Arabidopsis thaliana: one gene and its partners. The protein of the gene in region 4 purifies or fractionates together with the protein of the main gene of each other region. This does not show direct contact. Each region holds a gene or a part of one and is shown on either strand. Other genes may lie near its edges. The genes, in order: SNRNP-G, AT2G18740, AT3G11500 and AT4G02840.

Region 1 (7,557 bases), on a different chromosome or scaffold from region 4:
TCAATTGAGTTTTGCAGGTGAGGAAGCTACACAAGGAAATGAAAGTAGAGGAGCTAGTAGACCGAGAACTGGGGACAACCTACGATAGAATAGAAGTTGGAGAGATGCTACAAGTGGCACTGCTCTGCACTCAGTTTCTTCCAGCTCACAGACCCAAAATGTCTGAAGTAGTTCAGATGCTTGAAGGAGATGGATTAGCTGAGAGATGGGCTGCTTCACATGACCATTCACATTTCTACCATGCCAACATGTCTTACAGGACTATTACCTCTACTGATGGCAACAACCAAACCAAACATCTGTTTGGCTCCTCAGGATTTGAAGATGAAGATGATAATCAAGCGTTAGATTCATTCGCCATGGAACTATCTGGTCCAAGGTAGTAAATCTTGGACACAGAAAGAAACAGATATAATATCCCCATGACTTCAATTTTTGTTTTTGAGATGATATAGACATGTAAATGGTTATCAAACCTTTGAAAAAATTGAGATTCTGGGTCTAATGGTTAATATTTTGGATGTATATATTAAGGTTTTTTTAAATGTGTTGGTTTTGGTCTGTTATCCAAATTTGTAAAATTTGAGGTCCTGTGAAAGCAATTTTTGGTCAAACTCTGAGATTCATGTCTTATTATCAAAAAATTTACCGACCAACAACTTAATGATATGTTGACCTGTACTTCTAATTGTTTTTGTTCAATTTATTTTTCTAAAAAACATAACACAAAACAACAAAAGATGTAAAGTACATGATAGCTTTTATATACATAACCCCAACAAACTTTTGCTATTTATAGTCTCATGATCTTTGGTTGTTTTTGGATATTATTTGTTGTCATCAATTCGTTGTGTTTTGATCTTTTATATTCTTCTTCATATCACAGTCTTGATGCTATTACCCTAACTTAATCTTTATTTGAGGTTACAAAATGGTCTCTGTAATCCCCCAAGTCCATGTTTCTGTACCGTTTCAACAACAATGGAATGTTCTTTCCAAACTTCACTCTTACTCTTCATCACTGTATCATACTTTGTAGTAACAGAATCCATTAAACCTAACCGAATGGCGATGAAGCTGATACACCGTGAATCAGTGGCCCGTCTCAACCCAAATGCTCGAGTTCCGATCACTCCAGAAGACCATATCAAACACCTGACAGATATTTCATCAGCCCGGTTTAAGTATCTACAGAATTCGATTGACAAAGAGCTAGGCAGCAGCAATTTCCAAGTTGATGTGGAACAAGCAATCAAAACATCATTGTTTCTTGTGAATTTCTCCGTAGGACAGCCACCGGTGCCGCAGTTAACTATCATGGATACTGGAAGCTCACTTTTATGGATCCAATGTCAACCCTGCAAACACTGCTCATCAGATCATATGATCCATCCTGTCTTCAATCCAGCATTGTCTTCAACATTTGTAGAGTGTTCCTGCGATGATCGTTTTTGCAGGTATGCACCAAACGGACATTGCGGCTCATCAAACAAGTGTGTTTACGAACAAGTGTATATAAGCGGCACTGGGTCAAAAGGCGTTCTAGCTAAAGAACGGTTAACCTTCACAACACCTAACGGTAACACTGTTGTGACCCAACCTATTGCTTTTGGGTGTGGCTACGAGAATGGAGAGCAGTTGGAAAGTCATTTCACTGGTATTTTGGGGTTAGGAGCCAAACCCACATCACTTGCCGTACAGCTTGGGTCTAAATTCTCTTACTGCATTGGTGATTTAGCTAACAAAAACTACGGTTACAATCAGCTGGTTCTGGGAGAGGACGCGGATATTCTCGGCGATCCAACACCCATTGAATTTGAGACAGAGAATAGTATCTACTATATGAATCTAGAAGGGATTAGTGTTGGGGATACACAACTCAATATCGAACCAGTGGTATTCAAAAGAAGAGGACCAAGAACAGGGGTCATACTAGACTCGGGCACACTCTACACTTGGCTAGCAGATATAGCCTACAGAGAACTCTACAATGAAATAAAATCCATTCTGGATCCAAAATTAGAGAGATTCTGGTTTAGAGACTTCTTGTGCTACCATGGGAGAGTGAGCGAAGAGCTCATAGGCTTCCCTGTGGTGACATTTCATTTTGCAGGCGGAGCTGAGCTGGCTATGGAGGCCACAAGCATGTTTTATCCATTATCAGAACCGAATACGTTTAACGTCTTTTGTATGTCAGTGAAGCCAACCAAAGAACATGGAGGGGAATATAAGGAATTCACAGCTATAGGGCTAATGGCTCAACAATACTATAATATTGGTTACGACCTCAAAGAAAAAAACATCTATCTCCAGAGAATCGACTGTGTTCAACTCGATGACTATTCCCCATCAAAGTAAATATTGTACACGCAGACATGTCCATGTAAAAGAGACTCAGAAAGCTTAGAGAGTTTACCTTTTGAACACATTTGTATATTTTGAAGAACATACTCATCCCCAAATTCATGTTGTATTCTATAACAACACATTCATCTTGTTCTCGTCTTGACGACTTGCCCTCTCGAAGCTTTCCTCTCCATCTTCTCTCTCTTTTTACGAGACTTTTCATCTTCCACACCTCCCTACAGTTCAACGCCACAGAGACAGAGTAAAGCTTTTTGCATTGTGTAAAGAAGCTAATACTACTTAAAACTAAATGAGATTTACCTCTGAACCTTGTGACATGAATCCTCGAATAAGACCAGAAGCTTTATACACTCCAAACGCAGGAATCTAAAAACCAAACAAAAGTTACATCATTTCAATCCAATTCTATGTATCAATTTGTGTTTATTAACTAAGCAAACACGCATACCACAAGATACGTGTACCAAAACTTCCCAGTGATGATGGAAGCTAGCTGAACAAAGCAAGTGATATAGATGACATCGTGCAAATATCTGCAAAGGTCATCATATGATTCAAAATGCATAACTCAAACATCATAGTATGCAAATCCATAACACAGAAGCTAGCTTTTGGTTCTTGTTGATTCATTTAACACAAACGTACCCGCAGATTCCACCAGTGGTCATGTCAAATCCACCATCAATAAGCTCACCATCATCAGTAACACTAGGTTTAGCCATTTGATCAAGCTGCTTATAAGGAAACGCGTAAGCCAGCGAAGTTATCACTAAACCGATCCAATGTTTCCAAGTAAAGCTTGAGTAGAAAATCAACATCCTCACAACGAAATACACAGCCTGTGACCATAAATTACAAAATCCAATTCTCAATTCATGAAGAATCGCGAAAAATCGTAGAAATCTGGGAAACGTATAGATGGGAGAGGAGAAAATACATTGGAAGCGATGATGATACGACGGAGCTTAGCCATGTGTTTGGCGTTCTCTTCCTTTCGTTTCTTCGCTCCTTGATTCGCCATTCTTAATCTCGGATTTTAGCTCTCAATAGTCGTCGTCTGTTTGTTTTTCCGGCGAAGCAGAGGTTATTGAAAAAGACAACGACGCTCACTGTTTCGCTTCCGATGAATCTAGTAGTATATGGGCCTAAGCCTGTAAATAGGCCCAATTGAGCTTTCGGATCTGCGTTCTTGACAATCCACGGAAAGTTGTTTTGAGGGATCCTTAACAAGAAGCTGCAAATAATGAATATCCCGAATTCTCAATGCAAAAACACTTTAACCATATATACCTCATGATCACAAATTATTAAGTTTGATGTCTCCGTGAATCACACATTTTCCATGACAATAGGCCAGTGCCTGACTAAGACTTGCAATGTACTGAAATCAAGGAAAAGCCATCAGCTTCACCACAAGAAGCATGATAATCTTTCAGGGAGAGGGAGGGAGAGGGAGCGAGAGAGAGACACTCACAGTGGCGGCTTGTTGGTTTCGTAGAATTCGCTTGTCCGCTTTACTTTTGGCGCTTTGGGAAAGATCGTAAAATTTAGGTTATGTGCTTGACAGTGACACAATCACATTTTCAAGTTTTGATACACATTCTGTTTCAAGTTCAGTAAACTTTGTGTCAACATGGTTGAAATCGATGTCGTCCTAATCGCTCATGATAAATGGGAGCCTCTCGGCAATGAACTCAACATGTAAGACTTGTTTATGTTCTTTGCATTTTACATTGTCTGCATTTTTTGTCTTCTTTAAAGTCTCATTCATTACAAAAAGAGAAAAAGAGCAACTAAGCATTAACAGAAGGGATGAAGATATAAGATCAAAGCAGTGGATCCAGAGTAAAAGCACAAGAATATTGATGTGGACTTCTTGATCAATTTATAATAACTGCAAATCTACCATCAAGTTTCCTCAGAACTAATGCTTAGTACCAAAACAAAGATGACTATGGATGCATAAACCAAGCTAAGAAGATGACTAATAGAGGTTTGAGCATTGTATCAAGAGTGAAAAGTACAAGCCATCACATTCATCGGTGGGGGTTCATTGCAATCTTTTTAGTACAAGAAAAGAGTATTCATGTAGACTTCTTACAGAATCAATTCATCGTAACTGCGAATCTACCACCAAGATTTCTCATAGCTAGTGCTTAGTACAAAAAGATCATAACCAATGAATATAACGAGCTAAGAAGATCTGCCCACTGGTTCAAGAGCTTCAACAGTGACAATGCTGTTTCCTCTAATCACCTGCTCCCAAAACCAAAGTAAAACATCAGTCAAGAGCAGCAGAAGATTAACGACAAAGGGACACAGAATCGAGAGACTTACCACCATCCCGATGTCGGTTTTGTCGTTACCGTTCACCTCAACAGTGTTATCCACAACAAGATTCATGAACTGATCAAACCCACGAAGAGTTCCAGTAACCATTCGGTTAGCATTAAGCTTGACTGCATTTCAAATACAATTCATCAATCTCAACACATCAAGAAAAAATCCACTCTTTGCTAAAATCAAAACACAATCACCAAAAAAAAACTACTTTGAGTTCGATTCTAGACACTATAACTAAAATCAGTAATACCAAATCCAGTTCGATTCACAGAATAAAGTTGCAATCACATCTCAGCTAATGTGTTATACAAAACTGAAGTTCCCTAACTATCGATAAAAGAAGATGAAGATATTGAACTTACTTTGGAGCTTCTTATCCATGTACCTGCATCGAACGAAACAAAAACAAACAACAGATTAAGCACAAAAATTAAATCAGAAACACGAAGATATAGAAACAGAAAGAGAGAAATAAGAACAAGGGCTTACTTCTTAAGATCCGGAGGCTGACCTGAACGACTCATAGTTGCAAAATCGGAATTGAGCTTAGGGTTTTCGCTCTCGGCTTGAAGAAGACAGAGTTTGCTCTGAAACCCTAAAGTTTTGATTTTTGGAAGTCTAGTGTTAGCGTCTTCTTGTTTTTTACTACTCCTTTAAGCCCAATAATCTACTCAGGCCCAATAAACTATAAGGCCCAACTCATATGACTATTGACATGTTTCGTCGAAGTGTATTTTTTTTTTTTTTTTTAAGTGATTTTCCTTTTTCGTCGAAGTGTATTCTCTAGACGCTATTAATCTGATGTAATATCTTACAATCGTCTAACCAATTAATTAAATATTTTTGTTGTGGTCTAACCAATTGATCAAATATTTAGCGTCTAACCAATTGATCAAATATTTTTGATTTCACCAATCGATAAATTTTAAAAGTTACACTAAAATTTCACCACAACATCAAAAATGATAAGAAAAAAATTAAAATGACGAAGACATTTTTATGTCATTGTAGTTCTAATGCGGCCAATTGTTCGAATTGTTTCTATCGAATGATATTACATATACCATTTTGTTTTTCAGCATTACATATACAATTTTTCTGCCACCAATATGCATTATAATGAATTTAATTTAGGTAATAAGTGGTAAGTGGTGACACATCTATTATACTCACTAATTTTATATTTTATCTACATATACTATATTTAGACTAACAAAATTATAAATTTCACAAGGTTAAATTTTTTTCTTTATATATATATATTATTTAAACATAATGCATTATCATTTTTCTCTTATTATATTTTTAATTGAAAAATGATAAATATTTCTCTAAATTTTTCTACCTTTACATCTCATAAGCTTTATGCTTTTCTAGATTGTTGAGAGAGAGACAAAGAAATACTCTGGTGATGTAGCAATAGCAGTCTATGTTGATCGTTGTGTAATCGTGAGCTTACTTTGAGCGAACGATTTGCATTTCAGATTGTTTAGTATTTCTCTAATAATCAATTGATTTTTCTCGCGATTTACTTTATAAGTTTCAATTTGTGTTTCCTATTTACAAATTTAGCTCGGGATAACAACAATATATCAGTCCAAAATAAAAATTTCTCCACTGTAATACTTGAATGTACAGATATACCATGCCACAAGCTCTCAATTTCTAATACCGATTCATCGACAACAAAATAAATATAAATAAACGATTAATATAAAATTGGTTGATGTAAAACACTGAAACCTATTAATAATAAGTTGTGTATGAGAATGTATCGACTAGTTTTGAAAAGAAATGGAGTAAGAGCCGGTGTTGGGATCTTCACAGCCTTGAAGTTGTCTACACTCATCCCACATCGACCAAATATCGAGTTTCCCATCTCCTTTAGTTTTGCTCTTAAAACACCACCAAAACATATTATCTCATATGATCAAAAGTGTGGTTCAAGACTTTAAAATTTCAATATACTGTTAATAATACTTTTATTTTACGATAATTGGCTCCACTTTTTTTTTTAATAATCTTAAATTATTTTGTTTGAGTTTTGACCCCAAAATTTTATAGCCGGTCCTGCCAAAGACATTAAAATTTTAGTGTCCTTGAAACGTTGGTCCAGCAGAGGCAATTCAACATCATCCTCGCATATGGCAACAACCCATCTTGATCTATATCATGCAAATTTAAAGAACGTCCCATAGAAGAAACTTCATGATGGACATACCAAGAAGACAAAACCTTGATCTTTTTTGAGAAGACCGAACCTTAAATTTTATTTTTGTAGTTTCTTTTGGATCGTATTGCATTATTTATGTTGTATTAATAAATCGTGGATGCATTTGAGATTTTGATTTTGTTAATGACTGACTTTTAACTCTCAAACTTGCAAATCCTGCTTCATTTTCTGATGTCTAAAACGTGAATATTGATTTTGCTGTTAAAAAAAAATACAAAAAAAACTAAGCTATATACTTTAAATCCTGCTTCACAATCCTGATTTTGTATGTCTCTGAATTGTTTGTGTGATTTTATCATGTCTAACATCACAGCTTGCAGAAACTGAAGTGTGGATAAATCAGAAACCCATTACAAACAAAATGTATGGATATATGCTCATCATTTATTACACGTTTCAAATTGTATCTAATTTTTTTTAAAAATGTTAATGATAAATCATTCATCAACAGTTAGCTATATACTTTAAAGTTGACAACTCATAAATTACATCAAGCACATGTCAAAATTTATTTCCTTCTTAGCTTGCAAATGTGTAGTTTAGTACAAAACTGTATAATGCTTTTCTCATTTTCTTATTATTTGTTGCTACCTAGCCTCATCATATATTCCATA
Region 2 (8,209 bases), on a different chromosome or scaffold from region 4:
CTTTCCAATCTTTTCCAACCTCCAGACCTCATCATCCAAAGCAGGTGGGTAATGTTTCTTGTACACTGTAGGAAAAAAAAACATTAGGCAAAAGAAAAACAAAGATTCAGATACATCAATGACTAATATCAAAGGAAAGCAAGAACTTACACTCTCCACGATGGTCCTTCACGGTAAAAGCTTCTGTTTTTGCCTCGCGTACACGCATTCCCTCACAGTAACCCGAAGAGACCCTTAAACCCAGCCTGAATTTTCTGCATCTAATCCAACTTGAGTTGTCCGTAAAGATAAGTTCCCCTAATGTTCCCACACCTTCTTTCAACGTGACCTGCACATCACCAGTCAAGAGAGGCCTCTTCCCTTGACGTTCTTTCACCAAATGACCCTCAAACTCTTCTCCACTCCAACCATCATCATCTTCAGTGTTAAAATCACCATCAAGCACAACAACATCAAGCTTTGCAGAAGCTTCAGGTCCTACTGTCAAAACATGTCCAGTTGTCATATCCAACAGTACAACATGGATTGCAGCACCTTGCTCCCCTTCTATCTTCCCTCCAGTAAACAAAGGAACAGACAATCTAGACCTGAATTGTAGCTGCAAATTCCTTCCACCGATACCTTCAATTCGTTTTGGAGACGACCTGTGAACTCAAGCATTAGAAGAAAACCACAAATACTCCAACCATTAATTTTATCTCTTTTTAAAACAGTCATATGTTACCTTTCACTAAGTCTTGCAGGGCCAAGCTTTGCCAATGCCCGCTCCACCTCTTCACTTACCTGTTTGACAATGCTCACAAAACAAATCAGTAAGCCAAAGAAACAACACAAAGCACCAAAAGACATGTAAACAATTCTTATTAAGCTAACCACTCGGCGAAGAATCGGTTCCAAAGAAGAACAAAGCCTCTGTAAACTATCCATCTTCAAGGCTTCCACAATTACACTGCAATAACACATACACAACTTTCTCAAATCCACAGACAATCAATATACATAACAACCCTTTTTTCATTCATACAACTACAAATCAATTACAGATTCAACAACGCCATAATCAATAATCAGAAAAATTACAAGCATCAACACAAATTACCTTGCAAGAGCTGGCCTTTTACGCTCAGGCTGTTGCTGCTGCTGCTGATTATCATCTTCCTCCAATTTTCTCTTCTCTCTCATACTATTAGTCCTCTCCATATACCTCGTCTGCATTTTTTACGCTGCTAGAAGCTCTGATCTATAAGATCGAAGCAAGTAAAAAACTTCACCAACCCAGAGAAAGAATCACAAATCCAGCTCTCAAACTAAAAAAAAAATCAAAACTTTACCACAAACAAATCAAACCCAGAAGCTAAGCAAGATTTTATGAATTCTACTTAAAAGCTTCTTCAAACAAACGGAAAGAGAAACCTGAAAATTCGATTCGAAGGAGAGAGAAAAATACCTCAAAAATGGTGTTTTGGATAGAAGAAAAAGAGAGAGAGATAAAATGAAAAGATCAAAAATTAATTTACTTGAAACACTTGTCTAGTTTTGTGATTAGTCGAGTACTTTGACTAGTTTTAGTAATTAAAGATAGTTATCGGGTGCGGACAAGATCACAGTAGGCTTGGATTGCCGTCACTTTTGCTTTTCGTTTATTGGACGACATTCTTGGGCCGGCGGCTAGTGTATGTATTTTTGGCACATGCTATATTCTAAAGTTGATAATTAAATAATAATACTTTGTTGTATAAAGTCCAATTATTTGTTATTAAAAAAAGACTTTAATAGTAAAAATACATTCATTTCACCAATAGCAAGATTAGGGATAAGATTCAACAATCAACATGGATATAAAAACATCTAATTGCAATGAAAAGTTAATGTTCACATAGATTTCTGTATTTTTATGTTAACTTTAACAGATTATATTCTGATTGGTCTATTAGTATAATTAAACTTTCAATCTACTTGAGCCCTGAGAATGGCCAACTCGGTCAGTTCACCAAACAAACAAAAATGATACAATTTTTTTTATAATCAAAATCAATTGGTTTTACTTTTTTAAGGTTTGAAATTTAAACAGAGGTTAAAAAGTTGCAACAAAGATCAGCCAAATTACATAACACTAGATTTAACCAAAAGGGACCAAATCTCTTTTTTGAAGTTTTAACCAACCAATCCACTAGATTCGATCAAGCTCCTTTGTCACTCACTACATTGCAATATATTATACGACATTGAAGAAAAGAAGGTATCGTCAAGTACCAATTAAGCTGAGGAAGAACTCAACAGATATTTAACATAAGCTTGAAGGTCATCGAAGAGAGTTGTTTGAGACAGACATCACTTTCCCCTGTTAACATAGAAAGGATTTTGTTTCAATCTTTTGTTATGTGACAAATCAAGCTGCTATACATCATAAAGAGAGAAGACAGAGTAGAGATTGTGTTACTTACGTGTTCATCATCAGAGTTATGTTGTCTCCTTTGAGTAAAATCCTTCCTGAAAATAGGTATTAACACGAGTTATCAAACCATAAGCAGACAGATCTGAGACTTGTTATCAAAGAGTGAGTTCAGGATAACTCACCAAGTGGTTTCCTGGTGTTCTTCTTGATGCTCACTTCTTCAGCCTCATCCAAAACTAGATTCATGTATTCGTCAAAACCCTGCAAAGGACGACGGATAAGCAAGGTTTGATGGATTCTCCTAGAAGAATCAATAATACACCCAAATTCAAGTAGACAAAAATCTAAGTTTAAAACCGAGTAGAGTGACACTATCACAAATATCATGTTCCTCCATACATATAATCAACCTCAGAAAAGCTAGGATCTTAACTCGAGGAACAACAAAAGTCAAGTAGACTGCAACATGGAACAACAAAAGTCAAGTAGACAACTCAAACCTTTAAGCCAATGAGAATGACACCATCACAAAATCTCAAGTTTCTCCAAATTATCATAGAATCAAACTAAGAAAAGCTTGAATGCTTGAATCATAACTCGAAAATCATAGAGGACATACAACTACAAGCATAGCAACAAACTGAAACAAGTAACACCCAAAGCCAAGTAGGCTGTAGGAGACAATAAGTTTTAAGCCGAAGAGAATGACACAATCATACTCAACCTAAGAACAGCTAGCTAATCAAACTAGTTTCTATTGGCAGGCTCTTATCAGTTCTTTGTGCAGTAGTAGTAACAGTGACAACTATCCCTTTTCAATTCACAACAAATGCAACAGTTCAAACACAGACTAAATTAGAGAGATAGTCACACTGCTAATGCATTTCAAACTCTCCTAAAGTTAGCATAACCCTCGAATGTCCTATAAACAAAGCCAGGAATCTAATCAATTCATGATAACGGAGCTTCAACATCAACTTACAGTGATTCTTCCTTCAATCCTCAAATCTTTCTGCTCAAATAGCCAAATCTGGATCCTAGCTTTCTGCATCACAAACACAAAAGACCAGGGAACAAATCAGTAGACGAACTACTAATAACCTAAAACCTCAGAGAGCAAATCAGAAGAAATTGAACAACTTACACTTTGAAGAAACCTAAAAATCAAGTTCTGGAGCCGCCGCCACCGGAAAACAAAAAGCAAGATACAAAATTAGGTTTCGATAGAAACAATAAAGAGATGGAACAAAGGAATCGAAGAAGAAACGTACGATAGGTTGGGTCATAATCCTTTGAACTTTGGTGCTCGCCATGGCTAACGTAGTTGGAAATCTCTCTCAAGCTTTCGAAAATTCTCTCTCAGAGGAAATCTAAAACCCTAAAAAGCGTTTGTCCCTCTGCTAATACGCTTTTTTCAACATTTTTCTTAAACTTAGTTCTCTCGGTCCTCATAAAACTTCAGAATGTTATTTCAGCCCATAACTAATTAATGTGATCATTTGGCCCAAATACTCTTTTCCAAGACCTAGAATTTTTTAGCGTAGGTTTTTAACTTTTTTTTTTTTTTTTTCAGAGAAAGATTTATTTTTAATATACTGAGGCTCAGTGTTACAACATAAAAGGCTCAAGACAGTCTACATATGAGGTCCACAACAGACTTTTACGTCACAAAAAAGAGATAAGCTTAAGACGTGTCAGACCAATAATAATAAGCTAAGGACACGTGAATCTTCCACAACCTCCACCGGATGAGACTCAAGTCTGGTGAATCGGAGAACCATCGCCGGGAAAGCACCGAGCAATGAAACTCTTTTTTTCTATCACCGATTATGGCAATTAGATGTTATAGAACAAACATCAATTTCCTAATCTCATATGGTTGCTAGAATCACAAATAATTCATCAAAACGGGTAAAGAAATTAAAAAAATTGAGTAGTTCAAACTTGTCCAACCATTGAATCTTCGAACTCTCTTGCAAAAGCACTAAAGGCATATCAAATTTGCATAGGATAGAAGCTTTAACCCAATCTTAGGCGAAAATAAAATTGAAACTGTCTTAAATATGGTAGATCCAAACGAGGGTAATTGCTGGAAACGCACACATCGCCGAAAAACTACCAGAGCCAAAAGCATAACCCAATAGTGAAGCTAAACAAAACAGAAGGAGAATAGATCTTGTAAAGAGAAACCCTCTTCAGATCTGACGATTCTGCATGCCATAAAGCTTCATCATCAAACCTTTGAAGTAACAAAACAAAAACAAAGATGACCAACGCTGTTAGTGTAAGCCCAACGCTGCCGTACGGAAGCTGGCCAACGTCGCTAAGTTAGCCAACGATGCCATACAAAAAGCCAACCATCTCCACTAACGTAGCTAGAAGATGTCGGACGAAAGCCCGAATTAAACGGGACGGCGACTCACCGGAAAACTATCCGGTTAACAAAAACAAAAGAAATTTCAGTTTCTATCTTTACAAACTACGAGAGAGCGAAGAGAGAAAAACTTTTTTGTGTGGTTTATTAACTTAGGTTTTTAATTTTTTATTATTCTGGTAAAAATATACGACTAATAATGATAATTATTAAAAATATTCTTACTTAGAAATTGGTGTCGATGATAAATTGGTTCTCAGTCGAACTAGTGTTAAAATAAATAAAAATATGACAAAGAATCACATCTATGTGCTCAATGCTAGAATTACAAAGATTGAAGAGAGATTGAAATTTGACCAAATATTATCTTCCCACATTCTTATAAATAAACAAACTTCATTCCTCACAACACAAAAATGTACAAAACCAACAATAAGCAGAAATTAAAAAGAGAAAAATGGTCACAATCTCAGATTTAAAAGAAAAGAAGACTAAAAAGCTTAGGCTATATCTATGACTAACTGAATCAAATCCAAATACAAAACAATTAGCTTTGTACAAAGAATCCAGCTTTGAATCTCAATCATTCATTATTTATCATCAGAGATTGATAAGGAACCTTCTTGATCTCCACAAATGTTGAGTACTCAGTGCTCATTGGTTGCTTCCATGGCTCACCATCCATTTGCAAGAATGCGTCTCTCCAGTCACCTCCTCTTAGCTCAAATCTTACCGCAGCAGCCTGAAATGATCACCAAAATGAAACAGTCAAACACATGGCTAAAAAGATTATACATTGACCAGTGTCTTTTGAAGTTACCTGAGCTATGTGCTTGGCAGAGATGAGCTCAGCCATGACAAATGACGCGTGCCATCCTTGCTTAAAACCGAAAATCTCTATCAAACCATCATCACAATGTGCTTCCACAAAGCCTCTCTGAGAAAAACCAAAGAAAACATTCGGGTTAACATCAGAGAACTGAGTTCATATATGATGAAATGGAACAGAAACAATACCTTCTCTAGATAGTCCGGTTTTAGATTGCCCCAAGGATGGCTTCCACTTCCATAGCTGTGAAGATTCAATGCGACAATTGATCTCACACTACAAGAGAAATCCATAGCATCAGGTTTTAAGCATTGATATCAAAGATTGTAATACATAAATCATATATCGAAAACTGTTTTTTACTTTTTCGGGACTGCGATCTCTTCCCACTGAGAGCAGTTAACCTTTTTGATGTGAATTTTCATTATGTTCCTAAGTCCCCTGCAAATTCATATAGCACAAACAAGGGGTCAACAACACAACAAAGGGCTTAAGCAGAGACTTACACACAAGTTCAACTACACAATAAGAGTCGAAATGGCGAACCTTAAACCTGGATCGTTGACACAAGGCGTGCAAAACCAACCCTGACTGCAACCAAAACTTGAATATATAATCTGCAAAAGCAAACATTGTGTGGTTGGTAATGTCGTTTCTCAAAACCAACATAACTACTTTAGCTTTTAACAAAGACAAATAATGAGTCCAAAGTTTAGGTGCAAATATAATAAACAAACCTTATTTGAAATAGGGCCTTGAGCAAGATATGGTTTAGTGTTGCGAAGATGGTGGAAGCCATATGCAACTTGAGCATCCATACCTAAACAAACCAGACAAACACAAGAATCTGGTCAGAAAAACAATTGTGAAAATTGTTTAGGATATCAAAAAGAGAAGTTCAACAAACCTATGCTTAAGTAATTGTAGAAAACACCTTCATAAGCCTTTGCAAGTGGAGGCGCATCAATTCCCGCGTCCAAACCCTGAAACCACCATAAAGCCTGGTTAATTACTAAACCGTGGCAATTTACAAAATCACATGCTGATGATTCAATGAGAAGAAGCAAGCCTAATGAAATAGAGCAAAACCTGATCAAGTTCGTTTTCTTCAGCGGGTTTTAAAGAATAAGGAGGATCTACGACTTCTCCAGATGGCATTGACACTAAAATCTTCCAGCTGCAACACCACATAACCAAAGCGCATACATTTTTACAACAAGAGAAATACAATAAAAGCTAAATGTTTTGAGCAAAATAAGACTTTTACCTGTCAAGTCTAGCAACTGGACCCATACTTGCGCGATGGAGTGTTCTTTTAACAGCAGATCTCCACGCAAAAGGAAACGAACCACCCTGAAGAAGAGATACCATAGTCAGTACCAATTCAAAAGTTTTGTCACGACAACATAAGAGAGAACAAAGAAAACACAACTCACCCAACCAAAACTCCTTGAAAGATCATTCCCTGTACCGAGAGGAATAACTCCAACAGGAGGAATTTGCGACTTTCCATCTTTATTAAGCTCTCCAAGACATCCAAGAACCCAACCAACAGTACCATCACCTCCTGCAACCTATCCAACCAATTCCATTCACAATTCTGATTGCTAAAAACATTCAAGTGGATCTATAGAGATTGGAGAAAAATATGGTCAATACACTCACCATAATCCTCAACCTTGCTCTGCATTCTTTTGCACATTCATCTCCTTCCGCTGCCACTTTCTCCAAACACCCCAACCCGTATCGAACAAACTCATGCGGCTTCACTTCCGTGAGGTCAAACACCTGTATCAACACAAAAGTCACCATGAAGTTTCAATATCAAAAGCTCAAACCAATAACTTGACAACATCAACATCACTCAGCTTTCCAAAAGACTCAATCTTTAAACGTAACTCATCCTTCAAAGTTCCAACAAAACACTAGATCTAACATCAGCTAAGCATAAACATATAAATCAAGCATTAAAAACTTAAAAGCCAGAGACTTTAAGAAAGTTTCCAAACTAACATAATCAAAACACAAAGTAGATACAAATTAGATTCGAAATTCCCCCAAAAACCCAAAGAAAAAGATTTGAAATACAAGTTCAGTGAGAGCAAAACCTGTTCCTCGCTCATCAACTGTTGAAGCCTCTCTTTAAGAACAGGACCATGACGACCACCAGAATTGGGGTTAATGAAAACAACCATAGGAGCATGAGGAGCCATATCAGCAACAGCACCACCAGGAAGAAGTAAATGATCAGGAATAGCCGAGGAATCTTTGCGTTTGATACAGTCACGCATAGCGAGACGAAGATACTCAGGCATCATCAACCTCTGACGAAGCTCTACTTTATCTACACCAACCCATGCCAGATTCGCGAGTCCACAACCTCTCATCGTCTTTGAATCAGCCGTTGATGGTCGTGAAGCCACGAATTTCTCTTTCGATGCATCGGTTTTTGATACCGGAGAGTCCATTGTAGTCTCTCGCCGGAGAAGAAAAGACAAAAAGATGATTACTTTTCGTCCTGTGATTGGAGAAAATGAGGAATATTCGAAACCCAGATAATCAAAATTGGAGTTGAAATGAAAAATAATAAAGGATTGTTTTTTTTTAATCT
Region 3 (7,830 bases), on a different chromosome or scaffold from region 4:
GTGAGAGAAGATGAAGGATTAACGAGGAAGATGAATGTCGAGCTGTCTTTTTTATTTTGTGACTTACTTTTTTTTTGGTGTCTTTCTCTTTATGAAGTAAAGAAACCTTGCAAATTTTGTATTATGTAATAACTTTTTGTTTCTATGTGTATATCAAATCTTACAAGATATCTCAAATTTGGAGTATTAATTAACTTTTATAGTATCATTTCTCTGCCGGATGAATGTACCACACACAAAAAAGAAGAAGAAGAAATCTAGCATAAATCCATAATAATCAGTTGAGAAAAAAAAATAGTAAAAGATTATCTACAATGAGACTAGTCTCATGTACTTGGTAAACCTAATAACAACCAATGATCCATAATAACACAATTTCTATGGCTTTTGGTCATTAAATTTAATGATGATGGAATAGTTAAACACAAATTGTAATCCACGCTAAGATGTGAGATTTTGATATTGTGACAAACAAAAATGAGATTGATATTGTAAAATCAAATTTGAAAGAAATAAAAAAAAGGATGGTGAAGTTCATTGAACAGCTTGCATCTAAAGTGAATCTTTTAGTTACTTGCAAATGGTCCATGAGAATAATATACGAAGATGGTTAACATTTTTATGTAATATTTGTTTACCGTTAGAATTTAGAAAGAAGCAATCTCTCGTACTCTTTCTATTCTCTTCCCCAAAAACCAAAGAGAAAAGAATAAAAGAGAAAGTGAAGTTGGTGAAAGTTCTTTTTGGATTAGTTGTAAATCCATGTGTTTAAAATTCGTTTACTTGTTATATTAGTTGGAGATCCCCGACCACGAAATGTTAAAAAACACATCAAATTGTATAATGACTTGGACAGAAAATAATTTAGAATTTATAGACAAAACACAAATACCTACTTTTCTACCAAAAAAGGCATTTCAACTCATAGTTTTGTGGTTGATAATACTTGATATGAATGTAAGTTGGAACAAAGCCCACCCCACGTGTGTGCCGACGACGACCCACGTGCCGAACATTCCGTTGTGGTTACATGTTGTTGTTGTTGCTGTTTCATTGGAGATTGATAGATATTGTACCGATTTCATTCATTTTGCCTCACACACAATACTTCGTGGGGCACATGCTTCCTTGATTCCTTCCACTTTCACTTCTCTTATTTCTCCTTTTCTTTCTTTTAGCTTCTTCTTATTCATATAACAACATCTTTAATAGTAACAGAGGAGCCAAACGGCATGATTATGATCTCACTTTGATAAAAAGAGGGCTAAAAAAGGGTTTAAAATACTAATAAAGCAAAAGAAAAACAACCGTTGGAGCTCATTTACCCAAAATTCAGATCCCCACAACAAAAGTATTTTGCTTTCTCTAAGGTTTGGACCATTCAAAATTAGCTTTTTCATTACTACATTGATTTCTCTAACTTGAAATGATTATATAACTTATACCTGACTAACACATATGATAAGAGATTATAACACAAGGACAGTAAGTATCCAAATTTCCTTGTATCCATCAAATCAAGGGTTCAGAAAAATCTATAGGGAACAAACAGGACCGAACAAGGGTAAAATGACATAAGTAGAGGAGCCAAAGAAGAGGAATTCATCAAATAAAATCAAGATTGATTCATGCCGGTACAGAGAGCAAAGTAAGTCAAAGTCTCATATTACAGAAGATGATTACTTGGGGGTGAAAAGTCATAAGCTAAGATCTTCCAACTGGTTCGAGAGCTTCAACAGTAACAATGCTGTTTCCTCTTATCACCTGCATCCAGGAAAAAAGTAGAATGTTTAAACAAAACAAATGACAAGAAGATTCTGTGGGTGAGTTAGAGAGATGGAGAGAAACGTACCACCATCCCAATGTCAGTTTTGTCATCACCATTGACTTCAACAGTGTTATCCACAACAAGATTCATGAACTGATCAAAGCCACGGAGAGTTCCAACAACCATTCTGTTGGCATTAAGCTTAACTACATTGGGGGTAACAACAAAAAAAAGCAGACAAGAACTTCACTTGACCATACCAAGTTACAAAAACATGATAACAAACAAAGTCTAGTAAAATTCTAAATGAACGAGATACAAAACCTAAGAATCCATACAACTCTTAACTTTATGTGACATTGATATATTCTTAACCAAGATTAGCATTGAATCTATATATTGGAATTGTAAACACAAGTTTAATTAGTACACAAAAACACGCAATCCCAAGTAATACATGAACTGAAATGGCATTAATATAGCTCTTAAGTTGAGAAATCGGGTTGCAAGCAATTCTCATCTGAGTAAGAGATTTAGGTTCGACTTAAAGACGCTTTAAAATTGAAAAAGTGGAAGAAGAGATCGAGCTTACTTTGGAGTTTCTTGTCCATGTACCTGCATTACATGAAACAAACGAAGAACAAAATCAGAAACACGAAGAAGTAGGAGCTCTATGAAACCAAAAACTTCAACTAAATGGATACAGAGAAATTAGAAATCAAAAGGAAAAAAGTGGCGAAGAGAACTTACTTCTTGAGATCTGGAGGCTGACCTGATCGACTCATACTTGCAGAATCGGAGAAGACGAAAAACGAGAGCTTAGGGTTTTTCTCAGCTACGAACACTTTACTCGATTGATTCCAGTCTCCAGAGCGAAAGAGAAAGAAAAAAAATGACGTCGGTCTGCAAAACTAGAGTGGTCGAAGCACCGTCGTTTCAAGCCCATTGTTAATGGGTTTGACCGCAAAAAAAGCCTTTCACATGTTTCAAAACATAAAAGTAGGGGTGTTCCGAGAATCGAACTCGGGACCTCTCGCACCCGAAGCGAGAATCATACCACTAGACCAAACACCCGGTGTTACTAATTAGAGATATTTAGTCATTTATATTACTAAATTATTTATAACAATTTATCTTGAATTGTGATTACCCATCCAAAATTATCTGAATTACATGTAGTCAAAAGCCATAAAACTAAAAGAAAGATACCCACTGCATCAATTAATTACCAAACCTTTCTCCTTACTAGGAAATATTGCCTGTGATATGGCTCCTCATAGAGACTAAAGAACATAAAAGAGCATTCTTTAAACATCCATGTTGTTTATGTCTTCGATAACAACCAAGAGCATCAAGAAATGAGGATATGATGAGTTTTAAGTCATTGCAAGAGGCTATAAGTGGGGTCTGATGCTTATAATGCACTAACAGCTCAGGGCTAATAAGAAATATATGATCATAATCTGCTAATCTGTTTTCTTTTTCTTGCAAGAGATGCCATTCAACACAATCTAAGCGATAACATTCTAATCAAGAATTCCAAAAGCCGGACTTGGGATATTTGATGTCTTTATCATACAATCTCTCGTATAGTTGTTAATTGCATTCACCACATGCCACAAATCAACTCTTTTCATTCTTAAAATTGACTTTTTTGGTTGAATAATTGGGCCTCAAAAACAGATTATGACAAGTTAACAACGATCTGGCTTGGTTTGATTTCGGAACCAGCACGACATACTAAAACTTGCATCGGACTTTCTAATCTGATTCTGATGAGCAACCATAGCATTAAATATCTCGATAAAGTATCCATTCGCCAAAGTTAAAAAGAGAGAAAATGTAAAATATCAATAAGCCAACTAACAGTAACACGACGCGATCAGTAACTTAACATTTTTTTTCTCAATACCAAAAACTCCAAATACAAAAAAACACAGCTTATAATGTTCTCAAAGCAACTGGAAAGATAAATTGGAGAGAGACAAAACTAACTTCGAAGTGTACCCAAGAAAATACCCACAGTCTCAAGAGCACATTGCAACGATGATGAGCCTCATCGTGCAATCAGAGTCTTCTTCCTCTTCGTCCACCCTTTCGGCGTGTACTGTCTGTGGGAATCGGAGTCACATCCTCTGCAAAATGCATTCAAGAAAGATTCAGCTTCCAATGAGCAATCATAACAAAACAAAACAAAACAACTTGAGTGAGACTAAGTTTGTGTGTTTACCAATACGACCAATCTTCATGCCAGAACGAGCAAGGGCTCTAAGAGCAGACTGAGCACCAGGACCTGGAGTCTTGGTTTTGTTTCCTCCAGTAGCACGGAGCTTCACGTGCATGGCAGTGATGCCAAGCTCCTGTCACATAAACCATTATAGATTATCATCCAGAACCTCAAAGTCAATTAAAAAAAGGCATGGACATCGAATCATTTCAGACCTTGCATCTTTGAGCAACATCTTGAGCTGCAAGCATAGCAGCATAAGGAGAGGACTCATCACGGTCAGCCTTCACCTTCATGCCACCTGCAAAAGGTCACATAATCATTATATTTCTCGAAATATAAATGAATTTTACACTAACATAAACACAGGTAATAAAATTCACTACTAGGAAACATACCGGTGATGCGGACGAGAGTTTCTCTACCGGAGAGATCAGTCACATGCTGCAAAATATTGAAAGCAATGTCATAAACGCATTACACAGAAGGTTATATTACACAAACGCTAAGAATAAATGAGAAAAAACTTACAATGAAAGTGTCATTGAAAGATGCAAAGATGTGAACAACACCAAAAACTTGCTCTCCTTCACGAACAGAAGGTCCAAGAGTCACAGTCTCAACCTTTGGCTCCTTAGTTTTTCTCTTCGACTATTATATACAGAGAGAACAAAACACATTTGAGAAACAAATTGTTCACTGGTATTTAACCATAATTACATACCATCAGCTCAATATCAATACATGGAGATTAATCAGACAACCCCTAAACTATGAATCAGACAAGCCAAGATCAATAAGTCAATTTTGCATAGCTGAAACAAACGTATAAGTATGGAACATCGGAAACTAGCAGGACTAAGTGAAATCGCAGATCTCAATTTCCTAACAGACTAACGAAAACCAAATGATCTGGCACAGAAAAATGTTGGAGAGAAAGAGCTTACCATCTTCAACAATGGATCAGAGAAGAGACGAAACGATAAGTGTTTTTAGATTCTGCTCAGTGTAAACAAGAAGGACACTCACGGCGCTACAAATGCACGTTATATATTAGGGTTACATCGGAGTACCTCTATGAATTGACGTAAATACCCTCATCACTTTCATTACCCATTACGTCGTCGTTTGGTGTTTTTTTTTCTTAAACATTACGTCGTCGTTCGATTATTACTATTAGTCTTGTTAATTTTCTTGATTTTTTTTTGACAAGTAACAAAATTCACCAGATTTCTTATTGGAAATTATTATTTGACAAATGTGAACAACTTCACCTTGATCGTACCATCGTACTTGGTCTTATGAAGAACAAAGAAGTTTTCAAGTTATAACAGATAACTATGTAATTTGAATTTGACTCCATAGTTAAAGAATATGATGGGAAAAAGGACCAAAACGATTCTGATTATAGAAGAGAAGAAGAATTTCATTATAATACTTTTGAATTCATACGGAAACATCATTTCTCAACAAGAACCAATACCTTTACATATAAAACGATAAAAGATAGAGAATCTAAAATGCAGAGTTTGCAAGAGAGCCATCTTTCAAGCCTTGTTCATGGAGCAGATGACATAAGAGACTTGGCTGGTGAAATCAGAGCAACAGCACCTCTTCCAAGTTTCGAATACTTCTTCAACACACCACGTAGCTTGCTCTCCCCCGCTTTCGAGTGAATGAAAGCTAAAAGCTTTGAGCAATCCCTGATTACACACAGAAACGCACATAGAGAATTAATATACAAACAATATGATCACAAACTTGCTAGTGTAAAGAATTAAGAAGACTAACATGAGCTGAGATTCGGAGTAGCCTGTGTGGAATTTCAGTGTATCAGTCCAAGTAGGAGTCTTGTTCAAGCAACACCTTGCTGTGTAGACCGCTGATGCAGCAAGCATGGAAGGACAGAACATTAAACTGTCGTGATGCATCAAACCCAACTCAGCTAGAAAGTGAACCAAGTTCTCCAGTTTCTGGTCAGAACCCGAGGCTTTAATAAACCTCACAAGGAACACATACTGTGTTGGAACTGTCAAGTACCATTCAAGATTCCCCAAAATGGTTTTCTCCATCACTAGAATCTGTCTGCTGTTGTAGGAGTTATCAGTCACATATACCAAATCATTGACCTGAGGAGGCCAGATTTCTTCGTACTTCGAAGCTATAAGCAAAGCACTAACACCTACAAGCTGTAGTTCTCTTCTAGGCACAGTCTTCAGAGAAAGAAAACGATCAATTATGTTGACAGTGAGGTAAAGAGTCTCAGGGGAGAGATCAAACTTGACATGAACTTCTACAAGCCAATCAATAAGGATTGATCTCATCTTCTCATCAATCTCAGGTTGTGTATGCATATACATCTGAGGTTTGCTCTCATTCTGCAACAAAGAACAAAACAACAAACTTAAAGAAGACATTCACATAACTTATCCATAAGCATAAACAAAAGAAGGTTTCACTGTAAGTGTACCACAACTTCTTTGTAGAAAATGTACATATCCTCAACGTATTCCACAGCAGCAAGATCATTTTCTTTGTCGACATAATCAATATCCAAAGTCTTAGAAGCAGCCTAAGTGTGTACACCAATCACAAAACCAAATAATCAGAACTTTGCACATTATGCTTTCAATGTTGAACAAAGAATCTACCTTGCTTCGAGCATCAAGAACCGAAGAGTATGTCACTTTCTTCTTGTTCTCTTTAGCTTTAGCAACCTCGTTTGTATCAGGACTTATCACAATCACTTCGATTGGTTTTGACGGCTCACGCTTATCACCTCTTGCTTTCTTTTGAACCGCTCTTACAACTTCTTGTTTCTTAGTAACTCCATCAAGAATCGGAGCCTTTTTGTTAGCGGCGGCTGCAACTTGTGCGTTTTCTAGCAACTGAGCACGAAAGTTACGAGTAATGGGGCGGTTAAGCTTTCCTCCTTCGACTCCAATAAGAGAATCGACGTTTCCAATGTCGCCAAGAGCACGACGATTCTTTGCTGCTGCGTTTTTGAGGTCGATGGGATCACCTGATAAATTTTAACAAAAAGCAACCTATCAAGATTTGGATCCTTGGAAAACAGATTTGTAAGCAATCTTTGATAACATCTAAATAAAAGGATTCATAGATGAGAGTTTTTATGCAGATCCTAGAGTTAAAACAAAGATTCATCAGAGGGGAGAAACAAACCTCTAACTGGTTGAGGATGAACAACTGGTCCTGTCGCCATGATTTCTGGTGTTTTCAAACTCTCTGATTACTCCAAGATAAGGGGTTTCTAGATGAGAAGAAGGATGATTGAGATTTGAGAGAGAGCGCTTAAGGGATAGAGAAGAGAGGAGGAGCCATTAAAAGCATAATCGCAACGGTCAAATTATTAGCGGGATTAGACTTCTAGCCGTTGGATGATGAACTTTAAATCTAACGGTGGATAAGGAGGTTTTGTCTTATAGGATTGTGAAGATTCACGCCTTTCACACACTTAATGACAAGGTCCGAGTTTTAATTACTGGTTTATTTCTTCCCATTAGTGACAAGTTTGGAGTTTGATTTCTTCCTATAATTGGTTTTCTTTTCTTTTTTAAGGGAGTCAAAGCAACGTTTAAATATTGTTATCACCTTATTAGCACACCACAGTTCATGTAAACGATTAAAGATTGGTCGTTCGTTTTTTGTTTGAATTTATATTTTATATGAACCACCTTACAAGAAAGGTAGCATTCTCACTTTATTAATATACCATTGTTGTAAGATAGTGCTTTTTATCCAATGAACATGGGTCTCTTAATTAAATCACAAGGCCACAAAATTACTTAATGCAATTTAGTAAACTTCGAAATAA
Region 4 (8,209 bases):
TGTGATGGCATAATTGTGACAGCTGCTGGTTCTACAGGATCGTCCTATGATTTTTACAGTCGGTACTTTGCTCCTAAGTTCGGAGTTGATGAGGTAAAAGAGTAGCTGCAACTTACATTATAGTCTTTGCTCTTAGGATTGAACAAAACACCAAAGAATATGATTTCTTCTGCCTGAAATGTGTCGCCTTTTTCAGGACCCTGTTTGTGGAAGTGCACATTGTGCATTGGCACATTACTGGAGCATCAAGATGAATAAGTTTGATTTCTTAGCCTACCAAGTAATCTCTCTTATCTCTTTAAATTTAAAGTAGCGTTTAGTGCTTCCTAGTGAATGATTTTGAGTTTTTGGAAATGTTGCTTAGGCTTCGAGTAGGAGTGGAACGATAAGGATTCATCTAGACAAGGAGAAGCAGAGGGTTCTCCTGAGAGGCAAAGCCGTTACTGTGATGGAAGGCCATGTCTTGGTCTGATCTGAAATTATATACTGTGTTGAATTCTGCTACAAAACAAGCTCCTATAATGAATAACAATGAATTTACTCTTTTCAAAACAAAATAGTGTCAGCTGACTGATCCACCTTACATGAGGTGTGGTCGCTCGTAGGAGCCACTGATAGGATATGTCCATGTTTTCTGACCATGTGTGTTCATTTTGAATGACTCTCCAACAGTTCTCTTTCACTCACAGACAATACATTTATTGTTGATGGATTTCCAAAGTTCCCTACCAAATCTTCCCAGATTTTACTATCAATAAATGTTTGTTTTTGGTCTGGAGACTCTATCATTATTAAATAGAACGTGGAGCACATTGTTTCCAGATAAGTAGATTTCAATAGGAAGAAGAGGAGCTATGGCCATGCTCGTGAAGAAACCTGTGAAGTACTTCATGGTAATTGTATATTCTTCTTCGTCTTCTTTGGTTTTTGTTTCTCGCAATGTACTAGTATAACTTCCTTCCTTTCTACTTTGCTCTGAGTACTTCTTTTAGAAATGTTATTATCCTTGTAAGCTTCCCAAAGTGTTACCTGTCCTTTTTTGGAGATTTTAAGAATACCTACCAAATCTTCCCATGTACTATCAATCAGTTATTATTGTTTGAGTGTTCCTTTTTGACTAACCAATTTTTGTTTGATTTTTAACGACTAGTAAGCTATGCAACACAATTCATCACATGCTTAGCATAAGAATAATGGAATAAACATACCATATTTGTTTTGTCAATAAGTGCGTTTTTGCTTTATGAGTGCTTGCTTCCACTTGATTAGATCTGTCCTTTGCTGAATATAAAATTTTGCAAAGCTGCAGATTTCATAATGATTTGAGTACAATTCAACTGTTAGCATATAAACAAAACAAAAAAGATTAAAAGCCGAGATTTGTTTCAATAAGATTTTGCCCTACAAAGATTGTCTGTTTCTCTTAAAAGATGAAGTGGCATTGTAAATTAAAAGCCTCCAAAATGGTATAAAAGTTTAGCTTTGGTCTAACGAAAACATCAATGGCAAAAATAGAACCAAAAACGTCAATGGATATGAATTTTCCTGTCAAGTACTTCGTGGTAATTGTATATTCTTTTCTTTGTTTTTGCTCTGATAATGTGATCTTCTTCTTCTTTATGAACGAGTATTGCTAAACACAGGTTGATGCATTCACTGAGTCAGCCTTCAAGGGGAACCAAGCTGCAGTGTGTTTTCTTGAAGAGGATCATGAGAGAGACGACGTGTGGCTTCAGTCTATGGCCTCTGAGTTTGACCTTCCATTGACGTGTTTTCTTATTCCCATCCCCGGCTCCGAACCACCACGTTTCCTTCTGAGGTGGTTCACGGCTGTAGCCGAGGTCCATCTTGCAAACATTTTTGTATTTTATTACTCCCTCCGTTCCATTTTGTACAATGTTCGATTTATTTGATTTTGTAGATGGATATATGTGGTCATGCAACACTAGCATCAGCTCATAGTATCTTCTCAAACAGTTTGGTTGGTTCATCTGACACTGTCGAATTTTCCACCAACTCGGGGATTCTAACCGCTAAAAGGCTGTCTGATTGTGACTCTAAAAGATCTTTCTTGATCGAAATGAATTTCCCTGTGATTACAACTTGTGAGTACAGCTCCAAGGATGTCTCCATCTTCTCTAAAGCCTTGAATGGAGCTACCATTGTCGATGTTCGAGAAACTAAAACTGATAGACTCATCTTTAAACCCTTGATAGGAGCTTTCAAAACAACTTCAACAGACCAAATCATCGTATGTATTTCAGATTTCCTTAGAAAGAAAACTTGTGAACTTTCTATTTTTTGCTTATTTATATGATTTGATTACAGGTTGTGCTTTCATCTTGGGAATCTGTCATTGAATTTCAGCCAAGAGTGGATGATATCGTGAAATGCCCTGGCAAAGTGATGATTGTTACCGCTGCTGCTCCTCAAGGATCTCCTTTTGACTTCTGCAGTCGACTCTTTGCTCCTAAACTAGGGCTCAATGAGGTTAAGAAACTAACCTGCAACTTCGTGCATGGGAGCAATTCTCTGCTTTTTACTTGTGGTAGCCGTTACCAAAAGTGTTTACCGTTACCTTATTTGCTTGGTGCTTTTGTTCCTTCAGGACTCTGTATGTGGAAGTGCACATTGTTCATTAGCACATTACTGGAGCCTCAAGATGAACAAGTGTGATTTCGTCGCTTTTGCGGTAATTCATCTTTCTCTGTAACTAGCTAACTAACATTTCGAAGCAAGAAATAATCACACATATTAACGAATCAACGAATTTCTTTTCAGGCTTCGCAAAGAAGTGGAACACTCAAGGTTCATTATGATAAGGAGAAGCAGAGAGTCTTGCTTACCGGGAAAGCTGTGACTGTCATGAAAGGCTCTATCTTAGTTTAATCTTTCGACTCTTTGCCAAAGTCTTGAAAAATAAGGTCAAGATTTTGATTTCTCGAACTCCCCACGTTTTATCAGACTATGTAATAAAGTGATCAAGTCAATAATAAAACATATTGAGTGATGTATGTTTGGCAATAACGTTTCAAATCTCAAATTCATGAAAACTTAAAGAGATAACAAGAATTTGTCTTAGTGACACCAAATCTCACTACAAGATAGATCTTTTACAATCCTGCTGTTACAAACCAAAAAGGACCAGACTTTTGATTACTGCAAAATGCTTAACGACCACCACGGCCACGTCCACGACCTCTTCCACGACCACGTCCCCGACCTGCTGGAATCTTACCTGATACCAAAGAGAACAATAGAAAGATGAGTCTAAGCAAAAACAAAAACAAAAACAAAGGCATAGTTCAGAAAAAAGAAATGTTTTGTTACCTGCAGTTGGCTTTTTGGGTTTGATTCTTGGAGTGTCTTCAACCAGCAAAGTCTCCAGATTCAAACTGTCCGGAAGAATATAATAGCGAATGTTGTTTCCCCTGACACTTAAGTGGTCTAATGTAACTGGATTCTTCCCTTTCAGAGTGAGTTTCACAGCTTTTAAATGAGTGTTCATGCTAACATCTACACCTGCATTAAGTCATCACAAGTAGATAGTACCAGTCAGTGAGTTGATTGATAATTGCATTCTAAACAAGATGATGGCAGAAAAAGGAAACCAAACCAAACATTAACAGCAGAGACCACTTGTATTAGATCAATCAGACTAAAAGAGAAGTTGAAACAAGAAGCCACACGGTAACTGTTCTGTGAAAAATCAGAGATTTTCTTTACAAGGAAAGAGATAAGAGTGACTTTCATGTGCTAAATCTAATCATCTGCATCTGACTCGACAAGTATCACTCAGTTCTTGCTAACAAGAGGGTTACCAACAAAGCATTTCGAGGTAAAAAAATAATTAAGACTCAGCTAAACTCTAACTTCTTCAGATACTATCACTAATAACAGAATTAAGCCTCAGGATTTGTTAACAAGAGAGGTCCACAATGATAAAGAGGGAAACTAAAGTAAACTATCTCATATATAATCATGTGCTAAACTCACTCCCAGAAGAACTAAGCATTCTCATACACCCAACTATAAAGCAAAATAAAATGTATCATCTCCATCTGACTAGACCACCATTATCATTCACTTATTGCAAACAAGAGAGATTCAACACCCACAATGCATTTCTAGGTCTATTAACAGAATTACACATCAGAATTAGTAAATTCGAGAGCTCCATTGGTTACAACCATCAAAGGAGAAAGTAAACTACCTCATGGGTGATCAAAGTTTGAAGAAGAACTAAACTATCTCATAAACCTCGATTCAAGTAAAATCTAGTGTACTCATCTGCATCTGACTTGACCAGTGTCACTAGGGTTAATACCAACAAAGCATTATTAGGGGAAAGACACTAGCTAAACTCAAACTACACCATCAGAATTTGTGAATACGCGAGTAACCATCGATTACAGGTAAGCATCGTAGATTTTACACAAAACCCTAAACAGCGAATAGAGCTGGGTTTTTAAGAGAAGCGTACCAGTAATGGTTCCATGAACAATGGTTCCGTTCTTAAGCTCGATTGAAACTGTTTCGTTGTTCAATTTCATCAAAAACCTGCGAAAAAATCCAGATACGAAATCAAACATCGAAGAGCATGAAAACAAAGAGAAATCTCAAAATTTCGAAGCAAATTCCAATTAAACCGAAGAAATAAAGAGAATCCGAGTAGAAACCATACCTGACGAGCTTCATGGTGAGAGAATGAAGAAGAAGAGGAGAAAATTAGGGCTTTGAGGAGAGCTCGAAACAGCAATGGCAAGAAGCAAGAGCGGGAGGAGGAAAAGCAGCAATAGGGGAATTTATGTTTAAGTCCCCAATTATGGATTCTGCTTCACACCGACGGTCTCTTACTTCCTTGAATGTTTGGTTATACCCTATTTGTTTTGAACTTATCAATAACACCCTTCTCAACTTTTTATTGAACAAAAACAACCCCAAATGAAAGAAACAGAATAATTAACTCAAATAATCTGATTTGCGGAATCTAATCACTCACTTTAGAAATTTATCTTTTATCAATCACATTTTGTTTAGTTTTGAAAAAAAACTGTTTAAAACTTTTGTTTAGTCAAAATTAACAATACAATGATAAAAAATTTCATCATTAGCTAGCTAAATAGTAAAAAAACAAAAGGTTTTAGTATTCTTGATTCGGCCTTTTAGCCCAATAGTAACGTTGGTGTTCGAATCCAGTCATTCATCTTGGTATTGTTGATCCAATTTTTCCTAAATCCATTAATAATTGTGACAACTAAATTATGCAAATTTTTCAACTGAAAATAGGGGATATTACATTATGAATGGAATATACAGAGTCTCTTATTTGGATTTTTATTACTAATCCAATGGTGACGAAGCATACAACACAAGAATCTTTTCTTTTCTTATCAACACAAGAATCTTTTCTTTTCTTTTGTAACATCAACACAAGAATCTTTCATTTTATTTTATTTGATTCTACTTTTCCATACTAATGGTTGGGTCATCAATAAATCCATTCCTCGGGGAGAAGTTTCTCCGGCGAATCAATAGGATTTTCTGCTTCAATCTTGATAGGTGTTGTTGCCAACATTTCGCTCTTCTTCTTCGAATCATTTTCTCTAATTTCTACATTCAAAAGAAACAATGTTACCAATTTCAACCAAAATATATCTATAGTTCAAACTAATTTGTAATATATAACACAATGTATTTGAATAACGGTCGATGAGAACAAATAATGGTTGGAAAAGAACCTGGACGAGGAGAAATATGGATACCGTTGTTGTGAATGTTAAGATTGAGTGCTTGAACTACACGAGTCGGGAGAAGCACCGGTGAGCAAGCTATGACAAGAGAATTTTGTTTTCATCAATCAAAATTGTATAACATTAAATCATATATTAATGAGTCTATATAGTAAAGGCTGACTAACGTAAAAACCAACAAATCACAATTTCTTTATGTCAATTGTCCTACAAAAGCTACGAAATAGATAGAAAAAAATGGTAATAGATGTATGAATCCATGATATATTTCGTAGTAATCGAAGAATTGAGGTTTTTGTGTTTATATATGTTTAAAACAAAAAACGACAAAAAAAATCATCAAAAATTTTCAAATTCTTCTAAATTTTGTCTAGCTCTAAATCTTCAATCTCAAGAAGCAGTGGTTGTAAAAAAGTTATTTTTCTTTTGAATATAATTTGAACATTATTTTCAAAAAAAAAAAAACGACTTAACGACAAAATGTAAGTTAAAAATCATGTCAAATCAACTTTAACCTGAAACTAAAAGAATTTTAGTATATGCAGTTGGTAGAATTGATTTTATGAAATTGAAAACATTATGCACCTTTATTTGTGTTCATAAATACTTAGTATAGAGTAATTAATAAATAACCTGTTTTTTTGGTGGGTGGATGAGAAGCCGTGGCTGGAAGAAAAACTCCGGTGCCAGAAGTTGTACGGCCCGGTGTAACCAAGAAAAATGCTTGCATACGATCCTCTCCTTTACTCCTTTGCCAATTGCTTTGGTGCTTTTGTCTTGTATTATAGTTCTTCAACACACAAAAATATATATACAAAATATTTGAGCTTTAGTTTGAAAATATATAAGATATGTTTAAATACATACGTTAATGTCCATAATGATATTTCCTCCAATACCGTTAAGAGATTGTAACCAAAAAAAAGATTGAAAAGAAATACCAAAGGAAATGTTTGTCTAAGAGGAGGTGCCCCGGGCCGACGAAATTCACCGTTGCCGTGGTGATGGTGGTTCTTGACATATTTCTGCAACTATGTGAGAATTTAATTAACAACGACTTCGATATAGAATAGGAGAAAAAAATAACAAATTCAAATAGAAAAAATTTAGATATAAGATAATATAAACCTGATGTTTGTTGGAATGATCAAACAATGGATCTTGAAGAACATGATGAGAGGGTGGCCATATTTGCCTATCCTTGTGACCGATGATGTCACCCATTTGAAACTGACCAAAAAGAAACTTAAAATTTCAAAAGTATTAAACACTTTGAATTAATCTTAGAAGAAGAAGAAGAAGAACATTGAGAGAGACTCAATGGAAATGTTTCTTTGTTGACAAAAGAAAGAAGAGAAGAGGTTTTGATTGTCCCCAACTTCTGACCTGAATCTTAACTATAAATATTAATGGGTTTGGAAAGTAGAAGGAGAGATGATGACGACAAATTTGGTTTTATAGAAAACTAATTATTATGTTGACAACAAAGAAGAGTTTCAATGATTTTATTATTTGAATTTGGTTTCATCATTACTACGAGGATGAAACGAGAGTTACACACCCTTTCATTTCAAATTTTCGAAACAAAACAAAAATAATCATATCATTTTCTACTTTGGAAAGTGTTTTTTTTTTACCATTATTCACATAAACCGCGTGGTAACCGTGAGGTAACGCCAATATTAATGAAAACTACTAGACTATAAAGTTTTACTATTAGAAGCTTTTGTTTGTTGCAATTATTCATATAAACCGTGTAGTAACCGTGAGGTAACGTCAACATTAATAGAAACTATTAGACTATACATTTTTTTACTATGGAAAGGTTTTTATTGTTATCTACGACTCACATATTTTCTACAACCACGTAAAATTCACATGCTAATTTGACATTATTTGACTGATTTTTTTCATTTTTAAACTGAAAAATCATGCATCAAAGTCCATGGTAATATATGGATATTTACTTCCAGAAGAACTAGAAGTATTTTATATTGTTTTGTTATATTATATAGAGTTTCTAAGAAAGATTAAGGAGGTCATGTCGGGGAGTGGGTTGAGTTGTATTAAGTAAACGCCTCTCTCATATTTTTAATGACATTTTTTAAAATGTTTAATGCTTTAATTTAAATTGTTCCTTAAACTTAAAAGAACTATAACTTTGACCTAAACTACAAACTAATATTTTTATCATTTTGTTGTGATTTTTTGGCTATACATCAATTCTATCGAGAACACATAAAACTAGTATCAAAACAAACCACATTTTATCAATTTGTTGTTATTTATAAGCGAATTTTGTTTCGCATTACTTGTTATTGATTGTCTCATCCTAGTATTTCTTTTATATATAGCCAATCACTTTAATTCGTATTTCTTCAATGAGAAACCAAAACTTTTCGAGGATTGAGTCTAATTTTGTGTAAACTTGTATTTTAAAAGCTCTAGCTAACTAT

The links.
Region 1: the proteins of AT4G02840 (region 4) and SNRNP-G fractionate together in Arabidopsis thaliana (co-fractionation; one large-scale study listed by BioGRID). This does not show direct contact.
Region 2: the proteins of AT4G02840 (region 4) and AT2G18740 fractionate together in Arabidopsis thaliana (co-fractionation; one large-scale study listed by BioGRID). This does not show direct contact.
Region 3: the proteins of AT4G02840 (region 4) and AT3G11500 fractionate together in Arabidopsis thaliana (co-fractionation; one large-scale study listed by BioGRID). This does not show direct contact.

Annotation. Positions count from the first base shown.
Region 1 is NC_003071.7:10,180,030-10,187,586, reverse strand, and holds SNRNP-G (Putative small nuclear ribonucleoprotein G), read right to left. Parts: upstream 5,337-7,557; 5' UTR 5,235-5,336; coding exon 5,200-5,234; intron 5,096-5,199; coding exon 5,073-5,095; exon of another isoform or gene 4,827-5,072; coding exon 4,705-4,826; intron 4,624-4,704; coding exon 4,561-4,623; 3' UTR 4,217-4,560; downstream 1-4,216. Other genes in the region: AT2G23950 (Leucine-rich repeat protein kinase family protein), read left to right, coding at 18-383; AT2G23945 (Eukaryotic aspartyl protease family protein), read left to right, coding at 982-2,358; AT2G23940 (transmembrane protein (DUF788)), read right to left, coding at 2,490-2,582, 2,668-2,733, 2,816-2,900, 3,013-3,206, 3,305-3,388. UniProt on the Arabidopsis thaliana protein: Probable common Sm protein, is found in U1 and U2 snRNPs and may be part of the spliceosome.
Region 2 is NC_003071.7:8,118,833-8,127,041, reverse strand, and holds AT2G18740 (Small nuclear ribonucleoprotein family protein), read right to left. Parts: upstream 3,822-8,209; 5' UTR 3,709-3,821; coding exon 3,667-3,708; intron 3,567-3,666; coding exon 3,540-3,566; intron 3,441-3,539; coding exon 3,378-3,440; intron 2,657-3,377; coding exon 2,578-2,656; intron 2,491-2,577; coding exon 2,445-2,490; intron 2,342-2,444; coding exon 2,332-2,341; 3' UTR 1,964-2,331; downstream 1-1,963. Other genes in the region: AT2G18750 (Calmodulin-binding protein), read right to left, coding at 1-65, 151-644, 725-783, 874-949, 1,100-1,215; DGK3 (diacylglycerol kinase 3), read right to left, coding at 5,353-5,511, 5,590-5,706, 5,787-5,874, 5,962-6,039, 6,145-6,215, 6,336-6,418, 6,506-6,581, 6,688-6,775 and 4 more.
Region 3 is NC_003074.8:3,619,922-3,627,751, forward strand, and holds AT3G11500 (Small nuclear ribonucleoprotein family protein), read right to left. Parts: upstream 2,686-7,830; 5' UTR 2,554-2,685; coding exon 2,519-2,553; intron 2,384-2,518; coding exon 2,361-2,383; intron 1,975-2,360; coding exon 1,853-1,974; intron 1,765-1,852; coding exon 1,705-1,764; 3' UTR 1,684-1,704; exon of another isoform or gene 1,412-1,683; intron 1,204-1,411; 3' UTR 1,041-1,203; downstream 1-1,040. Other genes in the region: AT3G11510 (Ribosomal protein S11 family protein), read right to left, coding at 3,836-3,903, 3,999-4,128, 4,211-4,296, 4,394-4,439, 4,527-4,646, 4,943-4,945; CYCB1;3 (CYCLIN B1;3), read right to left, coding at 5,554-5,698, 5,787-6,373, 6,466-6,567, 6,647-7,017, 7,179-7,218.
Region 4 is NC_003075.7:1,261,215-1,269,423, reverse strand, and holds AT4G02840 (Small nuclear ribonucleoprotein family protein), read right to left. Parts: upstream 4,798-8,209; 5' UTR 4,699-4,797; coding exon 4,685-4,698; intron 4,561-4,684; coding exon 4,484-4,560; intron 4,291-4,483; coding exon 4,261-4,290; intron 3,523-4,260; coding exon 3,331-3,522; intron 3,239-3,330; coding exon 3,171-3,238; 3' UTR 2,965-3,170; downstream 1-2,964. Other genes in the region: AT4G02860 (Phenazine biosynthesis PhzC/PhzF protein), read left to right, coding at 1-93, 197-280, 365-472; AT4G02850 (phenazine biosynthesis PhzC/PhzF family protein), read left to right, coding at 855-893, 1,644-1,841, 1,922-2,251, 2,329-2,490, 2,609-2,692, 2,782-2,889; AT4G02830 (uncharacterized protein), read right to left, coding at 5,492-5,613, 5,742-5,831, 6,387-6,543, 6,695-6,784, 6,882-6,977. UniProt on the Arabidopsis thaliana protein: Involved in splicing regulation.